Linked DNA regions of Neodiprion lecontei. The protein of the gene in region 2 interacts with the protein of the main gene of each other region in a pairwise test. Links are inferred from orthologs where the notes say so. Each region holds a gene or a part of one and is shown on either strand. Other genes may lie near its edges. The genes, in order: ADP-ribosylation factor-like protein 2-binding protein and ADP-ribosylation factor-like protein 3.

Region 1 (7,337 bases), on a different chromosome or scaffold from region 2:
CTTCTTTGATTCACCTTACGGGTTTGTTACGTTTGAAGTGGTTGATATTGAAACAACAAATTATTTCAGACCATCGCGGATTCCGGATTATTACCGCTACATGTTAGAGAAGTTGACGAACGTGTTACAGCGCTCCGTCGGGTTTCAGCAGAAATTACTGGTGCTCTAGCTGACGTTCTTCTTGCTACAATGACTATTTTGTATAAGCTGTATCAAAAACTACGCTCAACTGAACCAGGCGACGAGGTTGCGAGGGAACAGCAACTTTGCGATCTCAGAGAACAAGCCAGAGCCTTGACCAGCTTTGCGGGCACGATCCCTTATCGAATGCCGAACGAAACAAACAGTAGACTCGTTCAAATGGAAATACTAATGCATTGAAGGAGTGAATTTATTTTTGCGTACAAAGCTGAAAAAATGTAAGATTCAAACATTTAAATAGATTATGATTTTGAAAGCTACGTTTAATGGTTACAAATTTTTTGAATTTTCTCGATGATTAATTTGCGCACAGGTTCCGTTCTAGTAAGTGGAAACTATCTTTATGAAACAAACGAAACAAGACAGTGCGATAAATTAAAAAAAATAAACTAATGAACACCATTTGCGTTTCTTTTTGAATTAATGAAGACTGCAGTTATTCGTGAATTTTTAATATTTAAAATAAACCACAGGTACTAGTTTATCACAATAATAAAACAAAATACCATTGAATTCCAACTTCATTCGCGTTTATTTTCTATCTTACATCTAACAAATACTAGATAATTAGTAATAGTATGGATAAATTTGAAAAAAGTGCTAGGTAAGCATTTTATAAAATGTATCATTTGGATGGAGCTCGCGATTGGTTAACCAGTAGGCTCATCCCGCTCTGAGCTCGTTGATTTGATAGATGTAATCGAAATCCCGGCGCTAAAGTCTTCCACCTTTCCTTCTTTTACCTAACGAATAATAAATTGGTTTTATATTGATATATTATCTGTTTGAGTTCAAACGCAACTCATTGTCAATGATAAAAGAAAGTGCCCCAACGATGAAGCAGTAATCCAAAACTTACAGCTTTGTAATCTAAAATCATTTCTTTGAATGATAGAAAGTCTGTTAACGTCGCTAAAACTTCAAAAACTTCTCCATCCAGTTCAGGACGTCTTTCACTATAAGAAAAAAAGGCATATTAGCGAACAGCACTGTTTACAAAACTACGGGTCCCACAGCAATTATTGTCTCATACTTAAGCTGGTCTAACAGAACGTGGATTGAAAAGTTAGGAACAGACTTCTTGAGCTGCTTAACGATGTAGTTTTCTATTTCCTGGTTCTGCGAAAGAGAAGAGAATTAAACAAGTTGGTGATACCTTAATCTAGCTATACACTCTGACTAATAAAATTAATTTTCTACATGTAAGTTTCCTAGTTATGCAAAACTTACATACTGATTAAAGATTTCCATGTAAATCAGTTTATTCTCTTCCTCGGGTCCAAATATGTGCCAGTAGTTCTCCAAAAATTTCTGCTGTAGCTCTTGGAACTCGCTTTCTAAAACAGGAATTTTGTTTATACTTTGGAATAAAAATTAGCTGCTCTATAAAAGAGATAAAACATCGCTTTCCTAAATTTTTGCTTCAAAGATTCTCAGATTCAAAGAAGAATCATAAAATTCTCAGTACCCATCAAAAGATCTTCTATGTACCCGATGATTTTATCGAAACCTGCGTCTCTGACACCCTTGGATTCCTCGTGAACTTCTTCGCTGTCAGTATCCATGGGTGTTATGTGATCTGAATCACAAAATGTTGGACTGATAAGTAAGTTAGGAAGTGAATGTCAGGTCGTATCATTAAATTAAATGTAGTGCAGTTTATCACGCCAGTCTGTTGGTGACAGTTTGAAAGTGGGTCAAGAAATATTTTTTTAACGAACCTATAACTTCTGGATTCATTTTAAACAAGGCTCATGAATATTATTTCTAAAGTTCCATAACTTGCGTTGTATGTATTGAAGAACTACACGTTAGTGCGTGGTTAGTACATGCGTCTGCAATGTCAAAAGATTTGTTTACTATCGAATCTGTCATGTAAGCCGCCATGTTGTTTCACGCCTAGCAACGCCGGGTTCTTGAATGCGATTGGCTCGTTCAACCTGACACGGTGTGACGACAATTTTTAAACTTGAAAAAAAAAAAGTTTTCAATTAATGTTCACAGAGTTTGAAAACACCAAATAGCTCTTGAGGCCTGAGTAATAATCCGAAGTCACTTTCAAACACATATCGTGGCTGCGTAAATAGAGTTAACCGAATCTTTTAGCGACCAACGTCGCTGCTTAGCAGACGACACGGCGTAACGTTTTTGGGATACCGGTTGTTGCATGTTTGTGGTTAATGGCGTGCTGTTATTTTAGCAATTTTAGCAGCCTGTTTGCATTCCTGTCGCAAGAGTTATTTAAACGTGAATACTTTTTCTTTTTAGTGAATCAAATTCAGGTAAGATTATCATAATTTTTCCTTCAATATTAATCCTTCTAGTCGAAATCTAAGATGTTGCGGATTTTGATGGATAATAAGGTTTAATTAAAGTAAAACAGTAGTTTTTTAAGCCGTTGGTATCAGGTATTTTGAAATCAAATTTAGAGTTGAAAATTTTTCTCTATCTCAAAGTAATATCATTTCAGTTCAACTCTAGTGATTTTAAATCCTCCTTTCAAATGATTATTCAACAATTTCTTTGTTTCTCTACTTTTTGAAATGGGTTATAGGCCTGATGCGTCCTTGACCAGTGGTTAACAATAATGTTTTGCTTATCCAGCTATTAAAGTGAAACGGAGGCTAGAGATGTCCATGGAAATATTTGCGTTTGATAAAAGCCTGCAGGAGCGGCTGGTCGAATACTCGGAAATATTAACAGCGGGTGCAAAGGTAATTCCAGCATCTCAGATTCACTCCGAATGGTCCTGCTATGTTGAACTGGTGATAGAACCGGTTGGTTGGCGTGCCCTATGGAAAATCCCAAGGCTGACCTGTCAGGACTTCGAAATCCATTATCCTACAATTGTTGTTGTTGAGGTTGAGAATGTGGATTTCCAAGAATTATCTGCACTTGTTAAAATAGTTGCTGTTCAAGATGAGATACAGCTTCCTGAAAAGTATGACGTTCCTCTGAACGAGCTTTACCCAACTCAGCACCAAGAGAATACAGTCCTTGATATGATTGGTACAGCTAACTGCATCGATCAGTTAAGATTCTTTTTTAATTATCTCTGGATGCCGTGGGATACGGATGACGATGACGACACCGACTGGGTTTCACTTCATTTGGAGCCAAGAATAAGATTATTTTTTGACATGAAACGCGGGGTTGTCAACAAAGAAACTTGCGACGTTATAAGAAGCTTGACCAGAGAAGGGAGGGATATTCAAGCAAAAATCACAAGGCTCGAGGAAGATATATCAGACGAAGAAGAGGATCAGGATCAAGTGCTCGATGACGGAAAAGCCTGCCAGTTAATGAAGCTTCATTTTCGACTACAGCAGATTAAAACTGAGATGGAAGTTCTGGAAAATCCTGTTATGAGGGAAGTCCTCACCAGAAATAAAGGCTCGAACATGACGGATAAAGAAGTTAAGAACCGGGAAAGCAGAGGGACGAGATCTGAAGGATATTTTGTTTGGCTCGGAGGATCTGTTCAAGACATGATCTCGTCTTTGAGCAATGTTCAGACAGTCATTGGTCCCGATATGTTTTTGAAGTAAGAGGTTTCATAATCTGTATGACTCATTTTATGACTAATGATCGTTACGCATATTCAACAGTAAATGATTTTTAGTTGAAATACATTACCTATTTTTCAATAAATCAGATCTGGGAACCTTGATTTTACAAAAAATAGAGAACTGACGATTTCTAACATTTTTTTCATCATTATATATTATTCAGAACTTCAAATTGCTTGCAAGAAGCACTGGATGCTTCTGAAGCAGGTGATATAGTAGTTCTCGGTGAAGGAGAGCACCAAATCAGAGGCGTTGGAGGCCTGGAGGAAGGAGGCAAATTCAAGGGGTTCGGCAGACTTGGAGATACAGTTATCTGTGGAAGGGAGACCGAATGTGGGCCGTCCTTGATGGATTTTTCAGGCGGGGAGGTACGAATGACATTTACGAAAAAAATAACTATACTATTACTAATATATGTATAACATCATACTCATTAACTTTCGTATCACCAGGTATATTTAGAAGGCATCTCCATTCAATTAGGCGATCTTCAGATGGGTTTGCTAGCTCGCAAAGGGAAGGTCCAACTCATTGGGTGCAGGATTTTCGTTACAAATAAAAGTGTCATCAAACTAGGCACTGTGGTTCTGCCTGGGGCTAAATTAATCGCCCAAAATACGACATTTGAAGGGCTTGGAACTGCAATTGTAATTCATTCAGGAGGCAGTGTTACTTTAGATGGATGCTACTTCAACGAATGTGTCGAAGGTATTCAGGTAAGGTGATGATTAATATTTAAGTGCTGTTAGTTCTATAAAAATTCCATAATCATTTTTAACACTCTAATTACATGAAAAATGTACTGGTAGTGTGAGATTCTCAAGGACCTGATTCACACGTGGGCTCATTATTGATAATATCATTATTTCAGATGCACGATAATTCAAGTTTGGCTGTAAATAATTGCTCATTATCGAATTTCAAAGAGCACAGTATACGCATGGAAACTCAAAAGTATGTAACTGGCCCTGAGGGAAAGATTGGGAGTAGTGAGCTGCTGCAGAATGTCTCCGAAATTAATATCAAAGATTGTCAATTCGAGAACAATGGTAAGGGTGATATTTTATTTCAAGCTAAACCGTCCGCGGCATTCTTCGCTAAACAAGAAGGTAATACGAACATGGTGTCTTAAATATATTATATTCGTGAAAATGTGTCTTAGATCCCGTTATATCCCGTTATCACAGCAATTTCCAGAGTACATTGTGACAAAAAATTTTTTACAAAGTTTACCAGATATATCCCTTGTTACTTATCTTTAATATTAAAATAAATGTATATTTAATGTAAGAAATTGGAGGTTTTCTTTGTAATTGGTATGTTTGAAAATTTTGGCTTTCAAAAATTGTTTACCGGTTTAAACATTGTAAAGTAATTTTAACTCATAATTCATGCCGAATAATTTTACCACAAAATTTCAATAAGTACTCATAGATTTCTTACCTTTTCGCCAAAGAAATATCTTCATCTTACGAATATCTTAATTTTTCGTGGTAAAGATTGGTTGCAATGAACGCCGCAAGATGGCGCCACCTTATCAAATTCAGTAACGATTCCGCGTGCTTACGTTTCGACGTGGTTGTGCGAGGTGAAACAAAAATACAGATGAGGCTTTTGAGCTCGTTGAATACATTGGTAAATCATTGATGGATATTGTTTGTATAATTAAAAAAGAAATGTACGCCGCATGAGAGATTTGCGTCATATCGCGAACTGGTGGACCAAAGAGTTAGTAAAAACGAAATAATTTGAAGATAAATCGAGATATTGTCGGCTTCATGTTACCTAACCTCAAAATCTTCGGAAGCTATGATTTGTACACTGTGTCCCAAATAAAAACATTAGAAACAACCAGACGCATCGCGTACGTATTAATTTTTGTTTCTACGTAATACGAATAGGATAATGCACGTTCAGGTGTTAGATGAGCAATACTGACTGACGCCGCATGTTCCCAAAGCAGGGTTACGGTTTAGCAGAAAAAAATCAGATTTGGTTCACGTATTCGTGCAATGTGTTTCGAATCGCAGATGCGTGAACTATTTAAAGATGCGATAGAATATTTTATGCTCGTTGTATTTTTACAATTGTATATAATGAATTAGGGTTAACAGCTGTTTCTTCCTGTCTTTTGGGTAAAAAGATAATTAATTGTTTGAGATCTGTGTGACGTGAGACCTCCCGGGCTACGTTTTGCTTTGAGTATTGTTTTTAATGTTATGTCAAGAGTGATAATTTATCAATCACCCTACGTACACGTATGTAATTATTCCAAGCGGCACATGTCTTTGCCAAAAATTATATCGTCGCTACTTTTGTCACCAATATCAGTCGCGAATTCAAAACATTGGCGCATAAAAAACAATTCTTGAAAAAATTATTCTCTGCTCTGAATACGAAGAAATTAAAAAATTATTGAGACACTGAGCAAATAAATCCCGGGTTATCTTCAATTTTGCAAAATCGTAACGATGACGCAGAAAAATAAAAAACGAGGGATAAAGTTACGTCCGTTTACCTATTTGCATAGTATGAGTACGTAGCATGATATAAATTTATATTTTTTATATTTATAAAGATAAATTGCGGATATAATATGATCGGGAAGGAATAGCAATAAGCCTGTGTCGTAAAATTCGTGAAAAATATTGCCATGTGCACAGAGATCGAAGCGCAGGAGGCAGCGAGGGCGGGGACGTTAGAAATTCGGCTTTTCATTACCCGTAAAAGACGTTTATTGGTGTTTCAGGTATCTGAACTAGGAAACTGCGAACGACTCGGTAAATCTTTGAGGAAACTACGACGTGCCTGGCTCACGACCGCAACAGAAGAGGCGGTAGTTTTACGCGTTTTAGCAGTGCGAATTTATCTCCGAGTACCCAGTTGCAAAACCACCCCGGAAACAACGATGGTCGAAACTGCCGTCCTCGAGACCATCAGAGACAAGCATACGCAGTTCGGCCATGCTCGTCCGCTCGACTGCTCCGACTGCATTTTCGTATTCCAAGAAACTCTCTCCGATTACGAGGAACCCACGTCCGACGCGGAGGTGAGTTGATGCATGCCAAATATTCGCACGTACCCATTCGCAGCCACGAGGACACGGAGCGCGACATTCGTAAGAGAGTGTTTAGTGGTTGTTGAAAATTGCCGGAGAAGATATTTGAAACCTGCTTCCACAATGTGTTTGTCCCTGCTGTAAGCGAATTTTTGATTACGCAAAAACTCCCCTTGAAAGCTGAATTGTGGGTAACCAATTCACCACCGTATTGTTTAAAAAAATCTTTTTAGTGACATTAAAGGAATATTTTTGCCACCAAACGTACCATCGTTAATTCAGTTAGTTGATCTAAGAGTTGAGAGTTTGAAACAACACTATCGACTGAAATTCACATCGTGGATTATCCACGCTGAAAACTGTAACATAAATACATATAATTCAACGTTTGAAAAGTATAACGATAAAGGATCGGATTTTTTGGGTAGCCGACGCATGGGATCAGTCAGGTGTCAGCTTCTTGTAAATTCAGAAGCGTGGTTTACATCATGGGAATTGCCAGGGGGATG
Region 2 (5,046 bases):
AGTGGAGGACCTTTTTTTTCAGCGCCGTCGGAGATCGCGTGTAACTCGAAAAATATTTAATTTTTTTCTTCAAAAATCTTACTGTGTATTCTTAAAATATGTATAAATATACCCTTGAAATTTTAAAATAATTGATAAATTCTTCAGATATACAGCACATGTAAACAGTCGAAATTTGTATTCTTACGTGAAAAAAAAAATAGCATTTTTTGCTAATCTATCATGAAAATTCGAATGCCAATTTAGATTCAAATTTAACTCGTGCCAAAATAAAATTTCTCACCTTGTTGCTTTTGTTTTTCCGCCGTATTGGGAATATTAAATTTTGACAGTCAAAATTATGTTACCATGAGGAATTTTTAGGGTTTAAATATTTAAAACCCACTAAATCTTTCATAAATTTATATGTTAATAAAAATTTGGTTCATGCAGAGTTTAATTTAATTAACCTTTTCCGTGGAATCTGAGAATTGAATAGCAAGATAATAAACATTATACGCCTAATTCTTGTTTTTTCAGCACAATGAAGATATATTACACTGGTTTAAACAACAGCGAATTATTTTGCGACGAAGAGGGGAGCGTGAAACAAGTTATTGATAAATTTACAATCGTACCCTTTACGGGAATCGACGATTTGGAAATAGGATGGAATTACATTCTTTTATGGCGGGATAAGGAACTTTTCATTTCTGGTAAAATAAATCTCAATGAGTCGACTGAAGTCACTGACAAGATTCCGGTCTTACTCAAACTACCGGAAGAAATGGAAGGGTCAGTAATGTAGAATAAAAGGCATAAAAAAAAAACTTATTGATCAATGAGAATAACGACTCGCACGAGTTTGGAAAGAAAAATATTGCAGATTATAAATTTTTCAAACGTAAAGCGAAGCGAAAAATTCAGCTGCTTTACCGAATTTGTTCATTTCTGGCAATTCAACTGAGAAAAGTTTCATATTGCAGATGCGTACAAGCAATTCCTGGCAAGGAAACGATTACAATTTTATCCGTGAAGCACGAAATTTGGCAGTACAAAGTATTCGACAAAATGTGGAAACAGGTTTCAAATTTCATTCAAGCGGCTGACGATAATTCGGATCAAGAATATACGGTGAAAATCTTTCAAGGCGGCTGCACCGTAGCCTTGACAAATTTCGGTAATTCAAATGAGAAATATTTACTTACTAATTTTTTATGTTTGCATATTATGAGGACTACATTCACCGTTCTAGACAAATACTTCTCATTTTTCATTTATGCTTAGAAATACGCCAATGACTGTATACTTGTTGTCACTATTGTTATTAATACTGTCATTATCATTCAAAATCGGTATTAACATTTTTTTGTTGTGTTTATGTTGTTTTTTCAAACCTAATAGGAGAATTCAAAATGTATTGAAAACCTTTTCCTAATATAACAATCATCCCCCTCGGAAACACAAAATTCCCAAAAACTTCTATAAATGATCTCCCATTCGATAATTGTATACATTTTTCAGGTAGAGTATACAATATTCCAATATTGGTAGACATGCCAAAGCGGGTGAAATTCACAGACGTTGCTTGCGGCTTCGATCACACGATTATATTGGCTGAGAACGGAGAGGTTTATTCAATGGGAATGGGAAGGTTAGTACATGAAATGACTATTAAACCATTTATCGTGTAAAATTATACTTCTGAAAAAATTAAATTTATCCGACCAAACGTTGAATTTCTATATTTTAGCCGTGGTCAATTGGGGCACGGTGACCTTGAAGACTGTGATAATCCAACGATAATAGAGGCACTGGCTGGTCTGAAGGTGGTTCAGATCTCCGCTGCGGGTTGGCATAGCGCAGTGGTCACAGATCAGGTATTTATTCAAAAGTCATTTTACAAGCCGAACGAAATTTCATAAAACAACAATTGCGGTGTGAAATTTGAAAGATGAGAAAAATGTTTTCGACACGAATAAATTTGGTGAAATGAGCCACACGAATGTAATGATTGCGTCATATGATTGTTTGGAAGAATATTTTTGGACGGAACAGCGTTTTTTTTTTTTTAATGATTTTTCGTCAAAATTCAGTACTTTTTTTATTTACTACGATTATTTTACACAGGGTGATTTATACACGTGGGGTTGGAACACAGAGGGTCAAATGGGAATTCCAGATGAAGGCACGAAGGTTTATGCAACCCCAAAACCGGTTGATTTTATGGATACCGATGGCCGCGCTTTTGACGCGTCGGTAAAAAAGGCACAATGCGGCAATGCGTTCACCATTTGCATGATGGGTGAGAAAATCATTTTATCAGCAAAAATTGACGTTACTATACCTAATACCATTTGCAGAAATTAAAAGAGATGAGAACTTTAACGCTTCCGTGTATAAAAATAATGAATTATTTAGATGACAACTCGATGTGGGGATGTGGATCGAATAAATATGGGCAGCTGGGTATGTCCAGAGACGCGTTGACGAATTCGAGGACATTTTTGAAACTAAATACTGCAATTGATGAGAAGGAGATCAAGAATTTCAAATGTCGGGAGTGGGGTGCCATCATCATCACAGATTAATAGACCGAGGATTCAGTTTAAAACATGTTTGTAAATGTAGCTTACATTTATCGGTTACAAAATGAAAAAAGTTTGTAAAAAAAATCCACGATTCAATTACTGTAAGCATAACCCACCATAATATGCTTTAACCAATTCATTAGACTACTTTATCATTGCAAGCTTCACGAGAATGAAAAATGTGCAGAGTCAAATATACCGCTTGAAATGTGCAATCCAGTCATATTGCATCGTGATTATTGAATAAAAATTTGACAATAAGATATTTTCTTACCTTCTCGTAAGCTTCGTTGCATCATTATACTGCATTCAACACAGTTTCAATTCACCATTTCACTTATTGCATTCTATTGAATGTTCTTCCGACATTCACTTCAAAAGATTGCACACGAGTTTTCCACTGAGCTAAATAAAACTTTGTCATTTCACTGGCAAAAATAAACGAAACACAGTGTTCGACGCACTTTTCTGCATTCAACATCTTGGCCTCGTATGAAAAACTACGAATCTAACTTCGGTAGAAATGTACACAGAAATTCACTGACACGTGCAGCTCAAGCAAGATTAAAATTGCACAGCGCTCGACCGCGCACCGACACGCACGATCGCCATCCGTGAACTGACGCGCGAGGCGCTGCGCTCAAGCCGACACGGTGTAAAACGACGCGTAACGACGCATGCGCGAAATTCAGCGTGCTGCGGGACCGGTTATTGCGGGTTGCAGGCGCTCGCTGCGTCAGGCGTAGAATTAAAATTCGTAAAATGATGTTGAAATCGATTGGCTGCGATAACGAACGCATTTGAATCACGTTTTTGGAAGTTTTCGGTCTTTATCACTGATGAATACCATGATAACAATTAAATTTACCATCAGCCCCGTGGATGTTAAATATTTTATTTTTATAATTTACTCTGCAACGAGTACGACAAACATTATTCTCACATTCGCGTAGTTTCATTTACGCTTTCCCTTTGTACCCTTAACCCCCTTTTTACCAGAGCCAATATTGGTGTTTCCATTATCGCTTGGCGGCCGTTCTGCATACCGTTCAAGAAGGCGAGGCGCCTCGATGGAGTCCTTGAGTGGCAGGATGAACTTTCTCTTCTCAGCGATTATTTCCTCGTCTGTCATTGATGGGGCTGGGGGCGGTGGAATATCGTCGGGTGTTTCAGACCTGCGTTTCTTTTTCTCTGAAAAACGAAAAATATATCTTCATTTACGAGAAAGGATTCCAATTTTTTTATCACCGATGATCAAGCTCGTGTATCGTACCTTTACTTTTCCCGGACTTGTTTTTCTTCGATGTTTCCTTAATTACTGGAGGTGGAATCGGTGGCTCCAATGGCCTCGGAAAACGTAGAGTGTATGGGAATTTGTATGTGTGGAGTTCCACTGGCTTCGCAAAAGCTGCACTCACCGTAGCGTAGTGAAACGCATTGGCATACCTGCAATTCATGATTACCATTGACGTCTTGACTGTGGGTACAACCTTTGGATCAACAATTTAGTTGCAGGTCATTACGAGCTGAGGTATATATATTTTGGATCTAACATTGCGTAAGTTGACTCTATTATTGCTTCGTGAACTTTCAACGAGCCTTCAACCGTCAAACGAGCTGTTTGGCTTGAATTCAGGCTTCTTCGACCCCTCGAAATGTCACCATCGGCTGATGCCTGCACCATTGCTATTTCCCCGTTTTTGTGGTTTGCTGAATTGTTCAGGACAACAGAACTGCAACATTTCATGATAAAATACGATGAAAACACTTGGCATTGTTACTTCACATCCCAGTAAATGAAAACCAGTCAGCGAAAATAAAGTCTAAGGGATTTTAAATGAAGATTGAACTGATTGGTTTCGAACAAATCACTTGTCTTAAATTTTACTGACAAATATGCAGGTTACCTGTTTGACGTTTGAAATACAGAACTCGGTTCATTGTTCATTGATTCCTGTTCACTTCGTCTTGACGATTCCACGGCGGTTAGTTCTTCCCAGTAAATCATTGAGTGACCTTCGATTATCTGGTCTGATGCTAGTGCAAATAACCCAGCCATTTCCTGGAAGAATTCCGTCCGACTGAGCTGCTTGTCTATAAATTCGATGAATAGTCAGGATTTTAATTTCCCTGAATTTTTCCGAATGCTGTCTTCAGCCACCTTGAATGAGTTTTGCCTCCCCCGCAATCCAGCTGACTAATATACCCAGTTCTGAGGAATTGAGTTCTGAGCTCCACCGAACTACTTCGAGAGCAATTGCGTCGAGGAGCCAAAAGGTCGCCATGTTAGTCTGATAGTCATAGATTCCGAGCTTTCTTCCGAGGGTTCTAATTGGAAATACGAACGTCACTTCCACGTTGTACAAAAAAGTAATCTAAGCTACTTTTTATTCTTGTTTTCAGTTCGGACTGCAAATTTGAGTAAATAATTATACTTACCCGATTAAATCCCGAGCATTCAGTTCACGATCAATCT

Evidence for each region.
Region 1: the proteins of ADP-ribosylation factor-like protein 3 (region 2) and ADP-ribosylation factor-like protein 2-binding protein interact in binary tests that used the Homo sapiens proteins (3 or more experiments, as listed by UniProt). The link is inferred for Neodiprion lecontei from reciprocal best matches to the Homo sapiens genes ARL3 and ARL2BP.

What each region holds. Positions count from the first base shown.
Region 1 is NC_060261.1:35,070,019-35,077,355, reverse strand, and holds ADP-ribosylation factor-like protein 2-binding protein, read right to left. Parts: upstream 5,280-7,337; 5' UTR 5,239-5,279; coding exon 5,214-5,238; intron 5,061-5,213; exon of another isoform or gene 4,903-5,060; coding exon of another isoform or gene 4,642-4,902; intron 4,487-4,641; coding exon of another isoform or gene 4,223-4,486; intron 4,139-4,222; coding exon of another isoform or gene 3,934-4,138; intron 3,746-3,933; coding exon of another isoform or gene 2,832-3,745; exon of another isoform or gene 2,806-2,831; intron 2,484-2,805; exon of another isoform or gene 2,246-2,483; intron 2,086-2,245; exon of another isoform or gene 1,942-2,085; coding exon of another isoform or gene 1,923-1,941; intron 1,781-1,922; coding exon 1,670-1,780; intron 1,539-1,669; coding exon 1,432-1,538; intron 1,321-1,431; coding exon 1,235-1,320; intron 1,158-1,234; coding exon 1,061-1,157; intron 945-1,060; coding exon 852-944; 3' UTR 715-851; downstream 1-714. Other genes in the region: nuclear pore complex protein Nup93, read left to right, coding at 70-381; protein nessun dorma, read left to right, coding at 2,832-3,745, 3,934-4,138, 4,223-4,486, 4,642-4,902; RNA pseudouridylate synthase domain-containing protein 2, read left to right, coding at 5,280-5,405, 6,520-6,819. UniProt on the Homo sapiens protein: Together with ARL2, plays a role in the nuclear translocation, retention and transcriptional activity of STAT3. May play a role as an effector of ARL2.
Region 2 is NC_060262.1:4,089,491-4,094,536, reverse strand, and holds the start of ADP-ribosylation factor-like protein 3, read right to left. Parts: upstream 3,160-5,046; 5' UTR 2,845-3,159; intron 2,769-2,844; exon of another isoform or gene 2,571-2,768; coding exon of another isoform or gene 2,401-2,570; intron 2,285-2,400; coding exon of another isoform or gene 2,110-2,284; intron 1,860-2,109; coding exon of another isoform or gene 1,733-1,859; intron 1,634-1,732; coding exon of another isoform or gene 1,504-1,633; intron 1,160-1,503; coding exon of another isoform or gene 966-1,159; intron 775-965; coding exon of another isoform or gene 524-774; exon of another isoform or gene 520-523; intron 41-519; exon of another isoform or gene 1-40. Other genes in the region: RCC1 domain-containing protein 1, read left to right, coding at 524-774, 966-1,159, 1,504-1,633, 1,733-1,859, 2,110-2,284, 2,401-2,570; uncharacterized protein LOC124293339, read right to left, coding at 3,526-3,761, 3,844-4,016, 4,124-4,303, 4,478-4,664, 4,732-4,898, 5,010-5,046. UniProt on the Homo sapiens protein: Small GTP-binding protein which cycles between an inactive GDP-bound and an active GTP-bound form, and the rate of cycling is regulated by guanine nucleotide exchange factors (GEF) and GTPase-activating proteins (GAP).